Linked DNA regions of Cricetulus griseus. The main gene of each other region encodes a partner of the protein of the gene in region 4 in a complex. Links are inferred from orthologs where the notes say so. Each region holds a gene or a part of one and is shown on either strand. Other genes may lie near its edges. The genes, in order: Eif3g, Eif3e, Eif3j and Eif3d.

Region 1 (5,201 bases), on a different chromosome or scaffold from region 4:
TCTGCTGGAAGTGCAGCCAGTGCCTTTAACCACTGAGTCAATGCTGTCCACTTAAATTTTGTTTTTAGAATTTTCCCATTTGTAGACAGGTGATGGTGGCTTATGTCCCTAATCCCAGCACTAGTGAGGCAGAGGCAGGCAGATCTCTGTGAATTTGAGGCCAGCCTGGTCTACAGAGCAAGCTCCAGGAGAGTCTCCAAAGCTACACAGAGAAACCTTGTCTTGAAAAAACAAAACAAAAACAAAAACAAAGCAAAGGCCATTTGTCTGGATTTTGCATTTCTCTAGTAAATTTTTTGTTTTGTTTTTGTTTGGTTGGTTTTGTTTTTCAAGACAGGGTTTCTCTGTAGCCCTGGCTGTCATGCACTTACTTTGTAGACCAGGTTGGTCTCAAACTCAGAGACCCACCTGTCTCTGCCTCCACAAGTGCTGGGATTAAAGGTATGCACTCCTGCACACGCACGCGCGCGCGCGCGCATACACACACACACACACACACACACACACACACACACACACGGCTCCATAATACAAATTCTACGTGCTGGAAATATAGGTCATCACAAGTGCGCCCAGCGTGTGCTTTCCATCTGCACTAGCAACCCAAACTAAGAAAGAACTTCTTGGAATGCATGTTCCCAGAGGCTGAGAATCAAGTAAAGGAAGATTATACCAGAGTTCTAGGGGGTGTAGCTCTGAGGAAGGAGAAAAGCTTAGTATGGGAAATAGTTTAAGATGACACTGGTAGGAACCCATTTCACATAGAGGAATATTCCCTGAGCCTAGACACACGGGGGAGGGCCTACGTCCTATCCCAAAGGATATGACAAACTGATGACCCCCCCCTATGGAAGGCCTCACCCTCCCTGGGGAGCAGAAAGGGCATGGGATAGGTAGGGTGTTACTTGGGGGAGGGAGGCAGAGGAGGAGGGGAGGGAGAGGGAACTGGGATTAACATGTAAAACAATGTTGTTGCTTTCTTCCTTTTTTTTGGGGGGGGGTTCGAGACAGGGTTTCTCTGTGTAGCTTTGGAGCCTGTCCTGGCATTCGCTCTGGAGACCAGGCTGACCTCGAACTCAGAGATCTGTGCCTCTGCCTTCCGAGTGCTGGGATTAAAGGCGTGTGTCACCAACGCCCGGCCTTTTTTGGTGTTTTTTATTTTTGTTTTGTTTTGTTGACAATGTTGTTTCTAATTCAAATAAAAAACGGAGGAAAAAAAAAAGATGACACCGGTAGAACTTGCAAGATGTCTTTGCAGCTAAGAAGGCTGACTGCCAAGCCTGAAGACCTGGGCTCAGTCCACAAGAGAATAAACTGGGGAGATTGCTATGAGTGCAAACCCAGCCTTCGGTACATCAGTGCGTGGTGCTCATGCCTATAATTTCAGCCCTTCGGAGGTTGAGGCAGGAGGATTGTCGGGAATTGCTGGTTATCCTAGCTACAGAGTGATACAGTGACTTCTAATCCCATCACTCCCCCCCAAAAAAACAATAAATTAAGTGGGTGCGGAGAGTTTAAGAAGTTCTGGACGGTCTCTCTGGGACCTCCTTCCAGCTTGGGTCCCCGTACTTCGCTGCACACGAGAGTCGCGTGTCCGCCTTCGTCCATAGGGAGGCGCTGTGCTCGCCGCGGTCTGGCCGCTCTAGGCTGCAGGGGCGGCACCGGAAGCCTCGTTCTCCCCGGGCTTCCGCTCTCTACCCGGGCTGGGAGCTGCGTGGAGCTAGACTTCGCGATGCCGACGGGCGACTTTGAGTGAGGACGGGGCGGTGGCGGGCTCTCCAGAGAGGCGGTGTGGGGCAGCGCTGGGTGTGTGGTGATCCGGGCGGCGCGGGGGTCGGGACCCGCTCACCCTTCTCGTGTCTCCGCAGCTCGAAGCCCAGCTGGGCCGACCAGGTGGAAGAGGAGGGCGAGGACGGTGAGTGCGCGTGTGCGTGTGAGTGAGTGCGTGAGTGCGTGCGTGTGAGTGCCTGTGCGCGGCCCTCCGCGCCCTGTCCCGGGGCGGGCCGAGCCCCCGGAGTCCCCAAACCCACCCACACCTTGGCCTGGACGTCCCAGCCGTGTGTTTCACTTTCCGTCCCCCCCGCCGCCCCCGCATTGCCTCTGACAGACAAGTGTGTCACCAGCGAGCTCCTGAAGGGAATCCCTCTGCCCACCGGGGACACCAGTCCAGAGCCGGAGCTACTGCCCGGAGGTGAGCCCCGTCCAGCCCTGCCGTCCCCTCCCCCTTCCGGCCCTCGAGCCCGTTCCCAGCAAGTCCCCGTTATCCAGGACTCAGTTCCTGTTGTCTTCCCACAGAGCCACTGCCACCTCCCAAGGAAGTCATCAACGGGAACGTAAAGACTGTGACCGAGTACAAGGTAGATGAAGATGGCAAGAAGTTCAAGGTGAGGCCGAGGTGGCCGCGGGGGCGCTTGGATTGGCGATGAGGGCTGTGAGTGTTGGTTTGGATTGGTGAGGAAGGAAGGCCTTGAGGTTCTGGAAGTCCTTTCTCCCTTTCCATCTTCAGATTGTCAGGACCTTCAGGATTGAGACCCGGAAGGCATCGAAGGCTGTGGCCAGGAGGAAGGTGAGGCCCTCCCATCTGACTCACTTTGGTGTGTGTATGCGGAGGGGTCTCCAGGACTGGCCCAGAGGAGTTGGGAAGTCCTTTCCTGTTGATGTAGAATTAAAAATTTAGTGTCAGGCCCTGGAAATTCAGGGTCCAGGAGTAGTTGAGGTTAGATTTTTTTCCCCCCTTTTGTGTGCTCCTGTGTACAGTGTCATTCCTCCAGCAAATTCCTCTTGCATTGAGATGGGCTTTTGTCATCAGGAATTAGATTTGACTAGCTGGCCACCTATCCCCAGTGAGCCTGTTGTCTCTACCTTTGGAGATAACAATCACATGCTTCTGTGCCCAGCTTTTCATTGTGGGTGCTTGGGATTGGACTTTGATGGGTACTTTTGTGACAAATAATTTGCTAACTGGGACATATCCATCCTCTTGAGTTTTTTGTTTTGTTGTTATTTTTATTTATTTTTTGGTTTTTCGAGACAGGGTTTCTCTGTGTAGCTTTGGAGCCTATCCTGGCACTCGCTCTGGAGACCAGGCTGGCCTCAAACTCAGAGATCCGCCTGCCTCTGCCTCCTGAGTGCTGGGATTAAAGGCGTATGCTACCAACGCCCAGCCTTAATTTATTTATTTTTAAAGATTGATTTATTTGTTTATTATGTATACAGTGTTCTGCCTGCATGTCAGAAGAGGGAACCAAATCTCATTACAGATGGTTGTGAGCCACTATGTGGTTCCTGGGAATTGAACTCAGATCTCTGGAAGAGCACTCAGTGCTCTTAACCTCTGAGCCATCTCTCCAGCCCCATTTGTTGTTATTTTTGAGAGGCTCTTGCTGTGTAGTATTCAGATTCTAAATGCTTCTGCCTAGCCTCCTGGGTCCTGACTTAGATTCTTACTCCTTTGCTCTGTCTACTTGAAGGAACAAGCAGCCTCTACTGAGCAAGGGGCAAGGGCTTCTGGAGGAAGGACATCAACACATTGAGAGCAAGGCTCCATGCCAGGCATTTAGCAAGACATGGCTTCCCAACCTCTAGATCAGGCTAGGGAGGCAGGGAGCTTTGTGGTCCCATTTAACTAGCTTAAGGTTCCTGTGATCTGAGTGACTCTTGGACATCCTCCAGCTTCCTCCCTGGTGGGAGCCCGCCCTGCACCTGCCTAGAAACTTCAGTGGCACAGTTGTGTGCCATTCTACTCTGAGTCTCCTTGCTGTTTCCTGGAGTTTTTTTTTTGCTTCTCTCCTTATGGGGTGTGTGTGGGGGGGGGTAGGTGTGTGGGTGTGTCTCGGGGTCATGAATGGCTGTATATTCACACTCAGACTAGAGGAGGAGATTGGGTGACTTGCTCTGTCATGTCACTTTACAACTTATTCTCTTTAGATAGGGTCCCCTGCCCCTGGGCTATATTTAACTCTTTGGTTTGTTTGTTTTTTGTTTTTCAAGACAGGGTTTCTCTGTGTAGCTATGGAGGCTGTCTTGGCACTGGCTCTGGAGACCAGGCTGACCTTGAACTCACATAGATCTGCCTGCCTCTGCCTCCCAAGTGCTGGGATTAAAAATGTGTGCCGCTACCACCTGGCTCATACTTTCTATATGAGAGTTTTGGGTTCTTTCATGTACAATAACCGGTTTTACACACGGAACCACCTCACCAACACCCTCCCCCCTTCTCCCCCACTCCTTTGTTTTGGCCTCATACAGCAGAGCTCAGGCTGGTTTTGAACTTGTGTATCTCAGGGTGACCTTGAGCTCGGAATCTTCTGTTTCCACCTTTAAGTGTCAGGGTAACAGTTACATTCCACCAAGCCTAGCTTAGGAAATGAGAATTGTCACCATTATCACATGGGAGGCCTCTGGGGACACGAGAATGTAGGATTTAAGGCTCTGACGGGGTTGTCTGTCTGGGGTACCCCACTCTGCTATCTTACTGCCTTTGTCCCCATTTTTCCCTATTCTTCTGGGAACCCAGAATTGGAAGAAGTTTGGCTACTCTGAGTTTGACCCACCGGGGCCCAATGTGGCCACCACCACAGTCAGCGATGATGTCTCCATGACATTCATCACTAGCAAAGAGGTGAGCAGGGTGAAGCTGGAGACCCAGAAGTGCAGTGGGGGTGGGGTGGACAGCGGCCGGCTCTGAGCCACTCTTCCCTATTCCCCACTAGGACCTAAACTGCCAGGAGGAGGAAGACCCAATGAACAAGCTCAAGGGCCAGAAGATTGTGTCCTGCCGCATTTGCAAGGGCGACCATTGGACCACCCGCTGCCCTTACAAGGACACACTGGGGCCCATGCAGAAGGAACTGGCTGAGCAACTGGGCCTGTCTACTGGGGAAAAGGAGAAGCTTCCGGGAGGTATGGGCCTAGGGCATGGGAGGGGCCTCAACACTTTTTTTTTTTTCCGAGATAGGGTTTCTCTGTGTAGCTTTGGAGCCTATCCTGGCACTTGCTCTGGAGACCAGGCTGGCCTTGAACTCGCAGAGATCCGCCTGCCTCTGCCTCCTGACTGCTGCGATTAAAGGCGTGTGCACCACCAACGCCTGGCTAACTTTGTGGTGTGCTGTTTTCTTTCTCTGTGGCCATGTTGGTGCAGCCTATGCCTGGGTACCCTCATAGTTACCTCGTTTGCTTGGGGCATGGTCATTCCTATGTAT
Region 2 (4,547 bases), on a different chromosome or scaffold from region 4:
ACAGTCATTCCTCAGGCTAACGGAAGAGAAACCAAAGACATCAGTAAGAACAGTAAGATTAACATGTGAGTTTGTGAATGAAGATCATGAAAATGTCAAGAGCTACTGCACTCTCTAAGGCAGTCACAATGCTCTCCTACTATGCAAAGAAAGCATTTTTAATTCAACTCTAGTTCAGTCTTTACTCTTAAAGCTACTCAGAAAAAGAATCCCGAGTTCAACACGGTGGCAAGTGCAAGTAATCCTAGACCCAGAAAACAGAAGCAGGAGGCTCAACGAAATTTGGGGATAGTCTGGCCTACATAGCAAGACCCTGCCTCAGGCAGGAAGAGAGAAAATAAAGAGTTACTATTATATGATGAGCCACATAAGGCAAACACTGAGAGGATGTTATCAAGAGGATTATAAACAAAAATTTCCCATCATCACCAATGCTTACAAAACTATTAAAAACATACCAATTGTTATTTATTAAATTAATATAAGTATTATATTCTTATGGCAAACTATGAATTTGTGTACAGCATTAATCTCTAAAGACCTTTTTTAAAAAAATGACCATTTTTTTAATATTTAAAAAATATACTTACCCCATGCTTGTCTGCTAGGTAGTCAAATAACATCCGACCATCCCTTAATATAGGAAAAAGTGAGCATTATTATGGTTTATAGTCTGCAGAACACAAAATGTGCAGCTCTAACTTCTAAGTTATCATCTAACAAGTCACTTTAAACCTCTTAATACTTAAACAGAAACACAATAGTCCATGTCAAATGTTGATATAAGAATAAACACAAACTTAAATTTTACTTTCAGATTTCTTAAGCTCTGACTGAAGATCAAATTTGGATGGTACCTATGTCACAAACTTCCACAATTATTAGTCATATCACGCTGCTAAATAGCCCAACCTAACCTTTCTTCAATTAGTTCTGCATTAACTGCAGATCCAGACAGACCAGTAAAAGACGAGTGTAACAGGGAGCCCACTCAAGAACGAATCAAAAGTCAACGCTTATCTTCACATCTTCAAAACAAAAGTGTTTTCTCGGGCTTCACCACGTGTGGGAATGTGCTGTGGCCTGTGGCACACTTTGGGAGTTCTTGACAGCATTAAATTACTGAATACCAAGTGTACAAAATTCCAACTTTCACTGTCCTCTGGCTCACTTTCTGATCGAGTACAAGAAAAACACTATATGATCAACAAAGACTTAATGAGACTGATAGAAAAATACCATTATTAAGTCTATTAGATGACAAATTTCTAACAGTTGAGTCCTTCGTTTGCTCTCAGCTAAGTTCCTGCCTTAGTCTACTACTTTTCCAGCGCTGTGATGACACATGCTGAAGCAACGCAGCCCGTGGAGGAAAGGGTTCACCTGGCTTAAACTTCCCAACCCGTCACAGAGGAGAGAGTCAGGGCAGGAATTCAAGGCAGCAACCTAGAGGCCCAACTGGCTTGCTCAGTTTGCTTTCTTTTACAACTCAGGAGAACCTGCCCAGGGGTAACACTGCCCCGCCCCACCCCCAGAAAAATCACTAATCTAGAAAATGCCCCACAAATATGGCTACAGGCCAATCTGATGGAGGCGATTCCTCAACTGAAGTTCCCTTTCCCAGATGAGTCAAGCTTGTGCCAAGTTAACAACTGATCAGCAGTGCCCATTCCATTATGGAAGGCACTGTCTGTCTACTCTGTGGTGAACACATTACACACGAGTTCTACTCTTCATTTCATTGTCTCCAATCTTTCCTTTGGATATTTATTTTAATTATGTGCACATGTGTCTATATGTGTGCGGATCGGGCACATGTCTGGAGGTGCCTACAGAGGCCAGAGGCACAGCCCCCGGAGCTGGACTTACCCGCCGCAGTTGAGTCACCAGAACTGGGGCTGGAAACTAAGGCCCGGCCCTCGGCAGCAGGACATGCTCCTTACTCTTAAGCCATCTCTCTAGTTCCCATTCCCAATCTTCACATGCCTAGTACATCCTAAAATGTCTGTTCTCGCCTAACATCTGGATTACGTCAACCTTCACTCCCTGCATACTGACGTGAGGCCTCAACAGCTAGAATTACTTTGTACTCTTACAAGTGAACTAACAGTGGAGATGCACGCGCATTAAAGGAGCTTTCTCTTTGACCACAGCTTTTACCTGTGCATTTGTAAGTATCTCCACACATGCGTGCAGTGTGAAGAGGCAGGGCACACAGCATATTACAGCATGTCAGAAGAACTGTAATGTGTGCAGGGTTTCTAACACTATCAGGTTACACAAAATCACTTACAAATTTGGTTAGATCATGTGTTCTAGAATCCAACAGCACGGCAAAGTCACTAAGAATTTCTCAAGTGAATGCACTGGTAGCTAAGACATATTACAGCAATAACGTTCAGGTTTAGTACATTTTACTTTGAAATACTTGTAATAACTCCAAAGGCTTCAAAGTGTTAAGCAAGGTTAAGGCAACATGCCTCATTTGGAAAGCAGACAAGAAAGTGTTTCTAGCAGAAAGAAAATTAGAAATAAATAATCTTAGCTGGGATGAGTACAGACACTGAAAGATGTAAGAGAGTGTAAGTGCTAAGTGAGCTCAGGGTTCTCCCTCAGAAAGCAACCCAAGCACTCTAGGCCCCCAGCAGGAGCAGGGCTTTCTCCCTAACACTGAGCTGGCTGACTCTAGGAAGGAGTTCGGGAAAGGCAGGTCCTGAGCACAACAAGCTTAGCATCCTGACCTCTACACTTGCCCTCCAGTGTGAGGCTCAAAGTCTCCAGACAGTACCAAATGCCCCCTAAGAAGGGCCAGGGCACACTCAACTGTCAGGGCACGCTAAGGCATCAACAACTGGTTTAAAAAGTTTCTTTAAAAAATTTAGTATTGGGGCTGGAGAAGTGGCTCGGCTGCTAAGGGCACCTATTGCTCTCGCAGAGGACCTGTGCTCAATTCCCAGTCTACTGGGGGCTCACAACCACCTTCCCTCCAGTTCCCAGGGGTCTTACCCCTCTTCGGACCCACCCCCAAGCACACTAGGCATATACTCACACACACACACTTGCAGACAAAGCACTGTACACACAAGAAAATAAGTTACAATTAACACTTATTGTTATGAAATACCCGCCCCTTAAAAAATAAAGACAAATGAAGCCGGGCGTTGGTGGCACACGCCTTTAATCCCAGCACTCGGGAGGCAGAGGCAGGCGGATCTCTGTGAGTTCGAGGCCAGCCTGGTCTCCAGAGCGAGTGCCAGGATAGGCTCCAAAGCTACACAGAGAAACCCTGTCTCGAAAAACAAAACAAAACAAAACAAAACAAAAGACAAATGGAAACAAACAAACAAGGCACTCACTTAGATCGTGAACTTTTACTACAGGGACCTAGTTTCACCTGTATATGAATCCAGGAAGAGAACTTCTAGGATTCAAGTTCACAGATTACCTGGTTGACTGCATCTGCCTTGTAGTTTCTGGGTCTTCAAACATCTTCACAATTGGTTCCGTTTCTGCCTGGAGCTGTTTCAGTTGTGCAACAACTGTGGTTCTTTTTTCTCTCAAAGCTAGTGAGAAACACGAGTAAGAGAACGTTACCCACCACTCCACGAGACTGTCTAGAGAAATTAGTTTCTCTTAATTCCAACCACACACTTAGTTATCCCTTCATTCACACGCCAGGAACCACCAACTCAACACCTTCACGCTAGAACAAAGGCAACACACTAATGGCTTTACATGTTATTACTAGGTGGAATGGAATTTAATCTAGTCAAGAATCTTTTTTAATATCAACAAGCTGTAATTCCACAACCCTAACTTTACAGATCCCGTTTACTATACTATCCCCAGAATAAAGAGAAAACTCACACATAACCTGCATCTCAGATTAATTCTCAGAGACTAGCAGTCATTAGAGTTGTGGTGGCATGCGTTTGTACTTCTCGACACTTAGGAAGCTGTGATAAAGAGGACAATCTCGGGGCTGGAGACACAGCTCTGCGGGTAAGAGCACTCGTTCCTCTTGCAGAGGATCTCAGTTTGATCCCCAGCAGCCACATGGCAGCTCACAACCATCTCTTAGTACAGTCACAGGGGACGTGAAGCTCTCTTTAGATCTTCTGGGATACCAGGCACACACATGGTGTACCAACATACAAGCAGTCAAACATCATACACATAAAATTTAAAAAAAGACCCTTCACTCCCATCACGAACTAAATTTAAATAGTTACTGCCTATAAACTAAAGAAAGTTATATTGACTTTAACAATGTCTTCATTCTATAGTGCTCTTCCTACAGCAGTGTTTTCTTCTCCACACCCGGATACTTGTTTTATTCCAAATTTTACTTTATTTATAATTATTTTCAGTATGAATGATGGGGATTATCGGTGTGAGTGCAGGGTTGGTTCTCTTATTGTGGGTTCTGGGGAGCAAACTGAGGTCAGGGGGCATTTGCAGCAAATGCTTTCCCATAGGAGCCACCTGTCTGGCCCAACATGAACTCACTGCCCCCCCCCCAGCATTTCTCTATAAACCTCTGCTCA
Region 3 (4,547 bases), on a different chromosome or scaffold from region 4:
CAAACTCAGTATGTAACTTAGGATGACTTGAACTCCTTATCCCCTGCTTCCATCTCCCAAGCAATGGGGTTATAGGCATGTGCCACACATTGTTTGATGAAGTGCTAAGGATTGAACACAGGGTTTTGTAGATGGTCCTATACCCATCTATATACTGGCAGCACTAAGTAGACTCTGAGTTGTTAAAAACAGCTTATGAAGTTGGGAGGGAGAGTAATGGGAAAGAAGGGAAGGGAGGAACTAGGGGTTTGATTTAAACACATAAATATTAAATGTATGCAAGTATATAATTCTCAAATAAACTACTGTATTTGAGTAAAACACAAATTACAAAAACCTTACCAGTTTATTCAAAAAGGAAGAATTACACAGGCGGTGGTGGTAGCACACACCTTTAGTCCCAGCACTTGGGAGGCAGAGGCAAGCGAATGACTTTGAGGCCAGCCTGGTCTACAGAGTGAATTCCAGGACTGACTTCATAGCTACTGAGAAACCCGGTCTCAAAAAAACAAAACAAAAACAAAGTAAAATTATTAAAATTTTTTGGCAGAGTCGGGCATAGTGGCACACACCTTTACTACCAGCACTTCAGGCAGCCTGAGTTACAGAGCAAGTCCCAGAACAGCGAAGGCTACACACAGACATGGTCTCCCCTGTAATCCCCTCCCGCAAAAGAGCAATACTGGGGACTGACTGAACCATAGCACCTCCCACATAGGTAAGCACTCTACCAATAATCTCATGCTACATCTCTTTCTTACAGCAGTAAAACAACCTTATGTATGTATGTATTTATACATGTATAAATACACACATATATACCTGTTTCTAAATATCAGGTATTTATGCAATCATGAAAAAAAAAATCCCTTCTCAGGGTTTAAAGGTAAAATGTATATTAGTTATATTAAGCAAAGCAAAAATAAATGAAATCTGGCAACACATTAACAGTATTAAGTGATATGTATTACTTGTTTTTGAAACAGTCTCACACTCAATGTAACCCTGGTTCGCCTAGAACTGCTATGTAGACCAGGCTAGCATCCAACTTTTCGAAATCCTCCTCCTTCTGTCTCCTAAGTGCCAGGATTATAAGTATGAATACCACCAGATCTGGCTTTATGAGCCCAGGCCTTACAATACAAGCCAAGCTATTACAAATTACAAATGTAATTCAGACTTCCAGAGTACTGGGATTTCAGGAGTGCAACACCATGCCTGATTATTTTCCTACTTTCATATTTGAGGATTTTTCTTAACAAAAAGTAAAGAAGGCCAGGGAATGATAGCCCATGCCTTTAATCCCTGCACTCAGAAAGCAGAGGCCAACCTGGTCTACAGAGTGACTTCCAGGACAGAAAAGTCTACATAGAGAAAGCATGCTCTCCGGGCATTGGTGGCATACATCTTTAATCCTAGCACTCGGGAGGCAGAGGCAGTTGGTCTACAGAGCAAGTTCCAGGACAGGCTCCAAAGCAAGACAGAGAAACCCAGGGGGAGTGGGGGGAGAGGGGAGAGAGAGAGAGAGAGGGAGGGAGGGGAGAGAATGCTCAAAAAAACAAAAAGGAAAAAAAGTGAGGAAAAATATTAGAGTTTTTTCCACACTGTGTATGGAAAAGATCTCTACAGTAAATAAAAGTGGAAACTACACAAAAAAGGACAGCCAGTTAGTGATGTCTGTAATCTCAGCATTTGAAAAGTGGGGGCAATGGGAAACCAAGTTCTAGGTCACCCTAGGTTATACAGCTAAAGACTATCACAAAGAGGCAGGGATAATACATACAGAAATATAAAGATATCTTGGACAAACCAAGCAGTAGTGGCACACACCTGTAATCCCAGCATTCAGAAGGCAGGGGTAGGTGGATCTCTGTGAGTTGGCGTCAACCAAAGTGAGTTCTAGGACAGCTAGAGCTGTTACACAAAGAAATCCAATCTCAAAAACCAAAAAAAAAAAAAAAAAAAAAAAAAAAAAAAAAAAAAAAAAAGTATCTTGGACAGATAAGGGACAAGTGTTTACATGAGATGTGGGATAGTGGAGACAGAATAAGTAACTAAGGGGTTAGGAGTGTTTTGTAATAATTTTTATATTTGAATTATGAAAATGTTTCCTATTAAAATAAATACAGCAATATTGCTGGATCCTGCTACAAAATAATCAAGAATAAACCACTTTAGGGCATGACAAACATTTGTTTGCTGTGTTCACTGTGTATAACTGATTAGAAATAGCCACAGGTGGGCTAGGCATATAGCTCAGTGGTAGAGGGATCACTTACATGCATGAGGCCCTGAATTCAATCCCAGCACTGAAAGAAAAAAAACAAAACTGCAGGTTCTAGCAAAAAAAAATAATAAAAAAAATAAAAAAATTTAAAAAAAAGAAAGAAAGAAAAGAAAAAAACAAAAACAAAAAAACCATTAAGGGTGGTCACTGCCCAATCTAACTGTTATGATGAAACTGAAAATATTTTCAGATATAAGACTTCTGGGTTCGCAAACTACAAATCAATTTTTTTTCTGGGATTCACCTATCTTACAGTATATCCATTTTGTCTTTACAGAGCCCTTCAAATTGCTATGTAATATTTGCAGCCAGTTAAGACACTGTACCACAGCTGGGCGTTGGTGGCACATGCCTTTAATCCCAGCACTCGATAGGTAGATAGGCAGAGGCAGGCAGACCTCTGTGAGTTCAAGGCCAGTCTGGTATCCACAGTGAGTGCCAGGACAGGCTCCAAAGCCACAGAGAAACCCTGTTTTGCGGGGGTGGGGTGGGGGGGAGACGGCACACACTGTACCACAACCGACACATTATGAATTCTGTATACATTTTAAGGAAAGTGATAGAACTTACCCTCTTTCTAATTTCTTCTTGCCTTTTCTTCTGCTGCCGTTCTTTCTCTTTTATCTTTTCTGCTATTTTTTTCTTTTCTGAAATCTTTACTTCTGAAAGAAATATTTTATTTACGATTATATTGAACACTTTCTAGTCTATGGCTACGGCAGACATGATGCTTGATTGAACACCTGAAGAGACGAAACCTTCCCTAGCTTTCAGAGTCACATATTCTGGAAATGATAAAGTTTTAGTACTCTTCCTTTTCATTTCAAATCTCACCCCGGGAGATGCAAATAGACAAGGGAAGATCATTCAAATAACCATTTCCTCTACTTTCTATCTCCTACACCTACACTTTTCTCCAACAGAAAACCAGCAGGTACTTAAAGAAAAAGTATAGAGGGGCATCTGGTTTAAAACAATGAAGGAATGAATATCAGTGACTCACCTGGTTTTACTTCAGCTTCCTCTTTATTTTCATCATCATCATCATCCCAGTTATCCTGAAGACAAGAACCTCCATTAGTAATTCTTACATGTTTTCTTTCCTATGTGATATCTATGGTTAACCTAAATATGCACAAACAAGCTTGTTGGTACTTTTTGGTATTATAGCCTTTATAACAGTAAGGCCCTTTGTCTAGGGTTATCTTCCCATTTTAAGTCTACTTTTGTATCTCAGGAGTGTAAGAAGTTTTACACGTTTCATTTTGTGGTTGTTCCTAGTATTCTGTAAATTCCTATAAATTTTTAAATTCTGTTGCTTTTATAGGTTTCCCTTGCCCTCATCATGCTTTATAATTAGGTATTTGTATATAGCAAACGCTATTGGGCTTTGAACATTAGTAATTTGGGAGGACACTTAAGTTAGGTTCATCATCAATTCTTTAAAGTTTTCTAATCCAAATATCTTCAATGTTCCAAAATTCCAAAGATTTTTGAGTACCAACATGTTGCCACAAGAATATTCCACACTTACAACTGGGCCTAGACCACAAATCTGAATGTAATCCCAGCGACCTGAGAGGTAGGGTAGATCAATGTTTAAGGCCTGCCTCTACAAAGTAAGAAATCCTGTTTCAAAATTAAGTAAAAACAATAGGAAGCTAGGGAATATGGTAAATGCTTGCCTAGTATGCATAAAATTCAATCCCCAGTACTACCAAAAAATAATAAAATTCCACATATGATCCATTGATAGATCTTTAGTCAAATAGAACAAATGCTTAAAATAGTGTGTAAAATTACCTTCCAGCTATGTGTGTAAAGTATATTTAAAACAAAAAAATTTCATGTTTACTTGGGTCCCATACCATTATGTGTACACATATACTCCTCAAAATCTGAAGGAAAAAAAGTCCCTAAATGGAAGGAAATACTTGTGGCCCCAAGCTTCTGAATAAGTGATATACTATACAACCCATACCACATAGCCTGAAAACAACAGAGTGTACTTTTGAGACAGGGTTTCACTACATATTCCATGCTGGCCTCCAACACAGAGATCTACATGCCTCTGCCTCCAAGGCATCGAAGACATGAAGGTCCTCCATACCAGTTTTACTAATTCTTCTAATCGTACTAGCTCAATCTAGTTCTGTTTACACTAGTGAGCAGAACAGAAATAGGCACCTCTCTTAATGAAACTGTCCCTCAAATACAATAAAATCTCCAAGTCACTGGCTTTTGCTACCTCTGGATTTAA
Region 4 (4,547 bases):
TTGCCCTGCGTTTTTGCCAGCTGCAAGGAGGCAGAGAGGGAGAGAGAAAGTGAAGTGAGGATGCTGAGGTCACCAGGGAGGGAAAAGACTTCCCCAGTCACCCAAGAAGGCTGAAGCAAACTGGCTGGCATGGCTGCTCCGTCACTGTTGTGGAAGCATACACCACACTCAGCTCACTAGTTTCTAGTTTCTGTCTTTGCAGGTGAGAAAGCTAAAACTCTAGTGCGATACGGTCTGCCTGGCAAAGCTGGGGTCTGAGCATGCTTTGGCTTACCACATTTATATCCACCCAGCAACAAGTCTCCGCTTCCATCAAATTCTAAGTCTGATCCAGAATAATTTTATCTAAGGGCTGGACTATGTACACAGTCAGCTGTTTCTGTGAAGTCTTCACCAGTCAATTCACCAAATGTTCAGGAGAACAAAAAAGACCATGTCTAATCAACATGCACATGCTCTTTCTGTCAAGTTCCCCAAACAACAGAATAACAACTGCTTATGTCTTAGGCGTCCTGAGCAATCCAGAAAGATCTGAAACATGGAAGATTGCCAGGACTGACAGTCCACATCAGTCATAAAGAAGCACCCATGAGTTTTGGTATTCATGGGGTGGTCCTGAATCAACCCCGTGACTACTGAGGGGACATGTCCATATCTCACACCCTGTTCTTTCTGGGCCTCAGCAACATTCCTAAAAATGGGCAAAGGGTGCACACCTTCCGGATGACAGGGTCGTCTGTGGTGGTAACGGTGTGGAAGATGCGCTTGATGCTCCGCAGAGGCTTCTCGCTCCGCGTGGTGATGCGGTCAAAGGCTTTGTCATAGTACTCCAGTGCGCCACAGCACTCGCTGAGGGAAGAGGGGAACGGGAAGCCAGAGAGATCCTCCCCACTCCTCTCTTATGCCGTGAATCACAAGTCTTATCTACTAAATACAGCGGTACACAACTGTAATCCCAGCATCAGGGAGGCAGACGAAGGAGAGCTGACCCAGCTACATGAGTGCTTTGTCCCAGAAAGAAACTTTACCCAGAAGTCTAATACGTATGAAAGGGATGGAATCAATCTCCTCGGAAAGGAGGCAAATCTTCACTGCCAGCTGTTTTCCTGTCCCAGCTCCAGAACACAGGGAAACACGCCTTCCCCTTTAGCCACCCTCCCCTGGGAACAGTCAGTTACAGGCACCTTGGTGGGTGGTCCTCCAGCTCCCCACTGCCTTAGTGCCTCACCCCTGCTCTGTGTACGAGGATGCACAATATGAAGCTTCCTGAAGGTCTGTCATGCTACTTTAGCCCAAAGTGCTCAGAGACTGACCTACTGTGCTTCTGTGCAGATACCAAGGGTGGAGAGAAACTGGGACAAATCTGCTTTGGAGTTGCTAGGGCTTAAGGAGACATAGACCCCAGCTGGTCCATATGCCCGAGTGCGGTGGGCAGCAGTGAAGAAGCTACTCACATGTCTTGAGGCTCCGACACTTCCAAGTAGCGCATTTTCATCAGTTGAGGAAAATCCATCTCCTCCTTCACCTCCCAGTCACTGCGAACTTCAACTGAAGAGTCTCGGGGTTTCTGCAGATAAAACAGGTTAAGATATTCATAACCTAAGGTTTCTCTGTGTAGTACTGGCTGTCTTGGAACTCACTCTGTAGACCAGGCTGGCCTTGAACTCCTGAGTGCTGGGATTGAGGCTATGTGGTCCTGGCTTTGTTTTTTTTTTTTAGACAGCATCTGTGACTTGTAGAAGCTCATTGAAGGGATCAGGGACAAAACATGGGAACTCTCAGGGTATTAATTACGTATTTTTGACACAACAAGCACCAAATTTTCACCAAAGTGTAATGTCTTAACATCATTTCCCCTTCGCAGCACTGGGGAATGAATCCATGTTTTTGTGGCAAGGCAGCCAGTTCACTGCTAGGCTATACTCCTAGCCCAAACTCCACTGTTGCTCATGCCTGCTATTCTCATAGCTTTTACAAAGGTGGTAATTATTCCCTAACAGTGCAAAGGGGAAAGGTGAATGGCTGAAGGAAATGTGGCAATCTATACATAGAAATGCTATTTGGCAATAAGAAGTACAGCTGGTTTTCCATATCTGCAGGTTTTATACTTGTGGGTTCTGTATCCCAGGGTCATGTGTGAACTGAAAATATTCCAGGTATTCAGCATGCTGAAAGTCCTACTGGGGGGCTGAGGCAGGAGGACCACTTGAGATTAAAAGTGATACTTTCAACCCATATAAATAACCCGAGGTGAGTTAAGGTCCATGAGGAGATGCACATATGATAGTTGCAAATGCTACACCATTTTATGCAAAAGAAATCTTGGCTTCTTTGAGGGCACCCGGAAACAATCCTTAACAGAGAAGAAGGAAAAAATGAAAAGACTGCACTAGTACAGGCTGCAACAGGGCATATACCTTAAAAATATCACACTAGCTGGGTGGTGGTGGCACTTGCCTTTAATCCCAGCACTCGGGAGGCAGATCTCTGAGTTCGAGACTAGCCTGGTCTACAAGAGCCAGTTCCAGGACAGGCTCCAAAGCTATACAGAGAAACTCTGTCTTGAAAAACCAAAAATGCCATGCTAAACAAAGGGCACAGATTTTGATTTTGTTTACATGAAATGCACACATCAGGGAAATTCACAGTCAGCAAAGAGCAGTGCTGGCTAGGACTAGGGAGGACAGGACATGCCTTCGGGCACAAGGTTTCTTTGTAAGAGGGATGAAGGTCTAAAGCTGTCCACAGTAACCATACACTAGAGACCACATAACTGCACTTCATGGCTGCTATCTCTAAGGATAAAAAGAAAGCAAACCCACCCAATTCCTAACAGAATTCTGGTATGGACACACTACCTGTGACTTCTGGTCCCATTTCTGTCTCACTCCAAATTGCTTCTGGAATTTTTTCTGCAAGCGAATTCGTTCTCTGAAAAGACAGACAGAAAGAATGCTGTGTTTTCAGTAGCTTCTTCTAGTTGAATTGAAGTATCTTTCCTGGCTGCTACCAGGAAAGAAAATGCTGGCTTAGGGATGAAGAGACCATGCTGGCACACACTAGGGTGAGAGCAGAGGCACACTACCCCCCAGAACCAAATGTAGGGGTGCATTCAGCCCAGTTACTGGCAATCCTGGCTAGGGTGTGGTTTCTTTTCCAATAGTGAAAGACAGCCAATCCCTGTCCTGGCTCCTTGACTTCTGAATACAGTCCATTTGGGAACACAGCTTTGACCTGGCAGGAAGGGACGCTTACCTCTCTTTCTGCTTGGCACTCTTGGGCAGGGTCTGTAGGTTGAACTGCACCATGTTCCGGCGATCTTTGTCTCTACGGAGGTTCCGCTTGGAAGCAGGAAGAGACCCGTGTTACCCTCTTAAGAGTCATAGCTTATTGGTATCTTGAGAGCAAATCTAGGGTGTGAAGTCCCCAGTTTCTCATCTCTGTTCTTTTACTCTATAGCTTCCACAGTATTTGGGGAGAAGCACTTGTGTTAGCTTGGACTCATTTCCACTAATGTAGGTTTACTGGTTTTACTGGAGTTGCTAAGTTTGCATCTTAATGTAGTACCCAACCAAACCATCTAATTAACAAAGCCTGTATGTTGCAATTAAGTGAGAAAATAGGTTCCTAGCACAGCTGTGTGATGTCTGACCTACTGTAAACAGAAATCTAAAGTCCTTCAAAACATCCTTGGAAAAGTTATTCTGTTAAAACCCAGTCACTGAATGGCCACTTGGGATTGGACAGAGGCCTGCAATTTCCTGTCTCATTGGTGTTTCCAAGACAGTTGCTAAGCAGCAGAAATTCTCACAGTAAGAGCTCCTCCAAGGCACTTTAGGCTGCCAGCCCGTGGCCTACCTGTGCGAATCTCATCCGGTTCCGCTGGTAGGCAGTCTTCTGTGTGCGCGCCGTGTCCACTAGCTGGAAGCTCGTCTCATCCTCCTCATGGAAATATGCATACTGACTTCCCCCACCAAACTGAGAGGAGTACTTGTCTGCAGGCAAAGGTGACAGTGTGTGCTAAGTGCTCCCTAAAGGCTACACATGGCAGTCTTGAGCCTTGCTCTCTCAAGCGTGGTTTTGGGACCTGCAGCACTTTTGGGGACCACAGCCAAGAGCTTGTGAGGTGTGCAGACTTACTGCCCCTGTCCAGACCTGACAGATGGGAACCTGTATTTAAACATGATCCCAGGTGATTCATACACACATTTAAGTTTTAAGAGCTTGAGTCTAAAGAACTTACCAAGAGAGCCCAAGCATCTCAAGTTAACCCACTTCACCTCTGCCTTGGACAATTAAGAATCTGGAGTGTACCACCATTGCCATCACAGGAGCCATGGACACTATCATCGACCATGATAAACTTTCTTTCTGACCTCATCCACCTTAACTTAGTATTCCCGAAGTTACTTCCAACCATCTAACTGGCACCAAGAAAAGCACTTTCTGCGCTCTGTTTCCAATGGTTGACCCGTAATTCTCCCTTTACTCTCTCTCTTCCTCTTCTGCATCTCTCCCCACCCCAATCTCTTAATGTGCAAAAAAAA

Evidence for each region.
Region 1: Eif3d (region 4) and Eif3g share a complex: the UniProt entries of both Homo sapiens proteins name them as parts of the eukaryotic translation initiation factor 3 (eIF-3) complex. The link is inferred for Cricetulus griseus from reciprocal best matches to the Homo sapiens genes EIF3D and EIF3G.
Region 2: Eif3d (region 4) and Eif3e share a complex: the UniProt entries of both Homo sapiens proteins name them as parts of the eukaryotic translation initiation factor 3 (eIF-3) complex. The link is inferred for Cricetulus griseus from reciprocal best matches to the Homo sapiens genes EIF3D and EIF3E.
Region 3: Eif3d (region 4) and Eif3j share a complex: the UniProt entries of both Homo sapiens proteins name them as parts of the eukaryotic translation initiation factor 3 (eIF-3) complex. The link is inferred for Cricetulus griseus from reciprocal best matches to the Homo sapiens genes EIF3D and EIF3J.

What each region holds. Positions count from the first base shown.
Region 1 is NC_048597.1:133,767,510-133,772,710, reverse strand, and holds the start of Eif3g (eukaryotic translation initiation factor 3 subunit G), read left to right. Parts: upstream 1-1,641; 5' UTR 1,642-1,732; coding exon 1,733-1,752; intron 1,753-1,868; coding exon 1,869-1,915; intron 1,916-2,107; coding exon 2,108-2,191; intron 2,192-2,295; coding exon 2,296-2,384; intron 2,385-2,506; coding exon 2,507-2,566; intron 2,567-4,516; coding exon 4,517-4,621; intron 4,622-4,712; coding exon 4,713-4,902; intron 4,903-5,201. UniProt on the Homo sapiens protein: RNA-binding component of the eukaryotic translation initiation factor 3 (eIF-3) complex, which is required for several steps in the initiation of protein synthesis.
Region 2 is NC_048603.1:9,463,055-9,467,601, reverse strand, and holds part of Eif3e (eukaryotic translation initiation factor 3 subunit E), read right to left. Parts: intron 3,564-4,547; coding exon 3,446-3,563; intron 634-3,445; coding exon 591-633; intron 1-590. UniProt on the Homo sapiens protein: Component of the eukaryotic translation initiation factor 3 (eIF-3) complex, which is required for several steps in the initiation of protein synthesis.
Region 3 is NC_048599.1:56,399,074-56,403,620, forward strand, and holds part of Eif3j (eukaryotic translation initiation factor 3 subunit J), read right to left. Parts: intron 3,346-4,547; coding exon 3,291-3,345; intron 2,950-3,290; coding exon 2,858-2,949; intron 1-2,857. UniProt on the Homo sapiens protein: Component of the eukaryotic translation initiation factor 3 (eIF-3) complex, which is required for several steps in the initiation of protein synthesis.
Region 4 is NC_048595.1:375,063,500-375,068,046, forward strand, and holds part of Eif3d (eukaryotic translation initiation factor 3 subunit D), read right to left. Parts: intron 3,996-4,547; coding exon 3,859-3,995; intron 3,342-3,858; coding exon 3,256-3,341; intron 2,932-3,255; coding exon 2,859-2,931; intron 1,568-2,858; coding exon 1,455-1,567; intron 850-1,454; coding exon 717-849; intron 21-716; coding exon 1-20. UniProt on the Homo sapiens protein: mRNA cap-binding component of the eukaryotic translation initiation factor 3 (eIF-3) complex, a complex required for several steps in the initiation of protein synthesis of a specialized repertoire of mRNAs.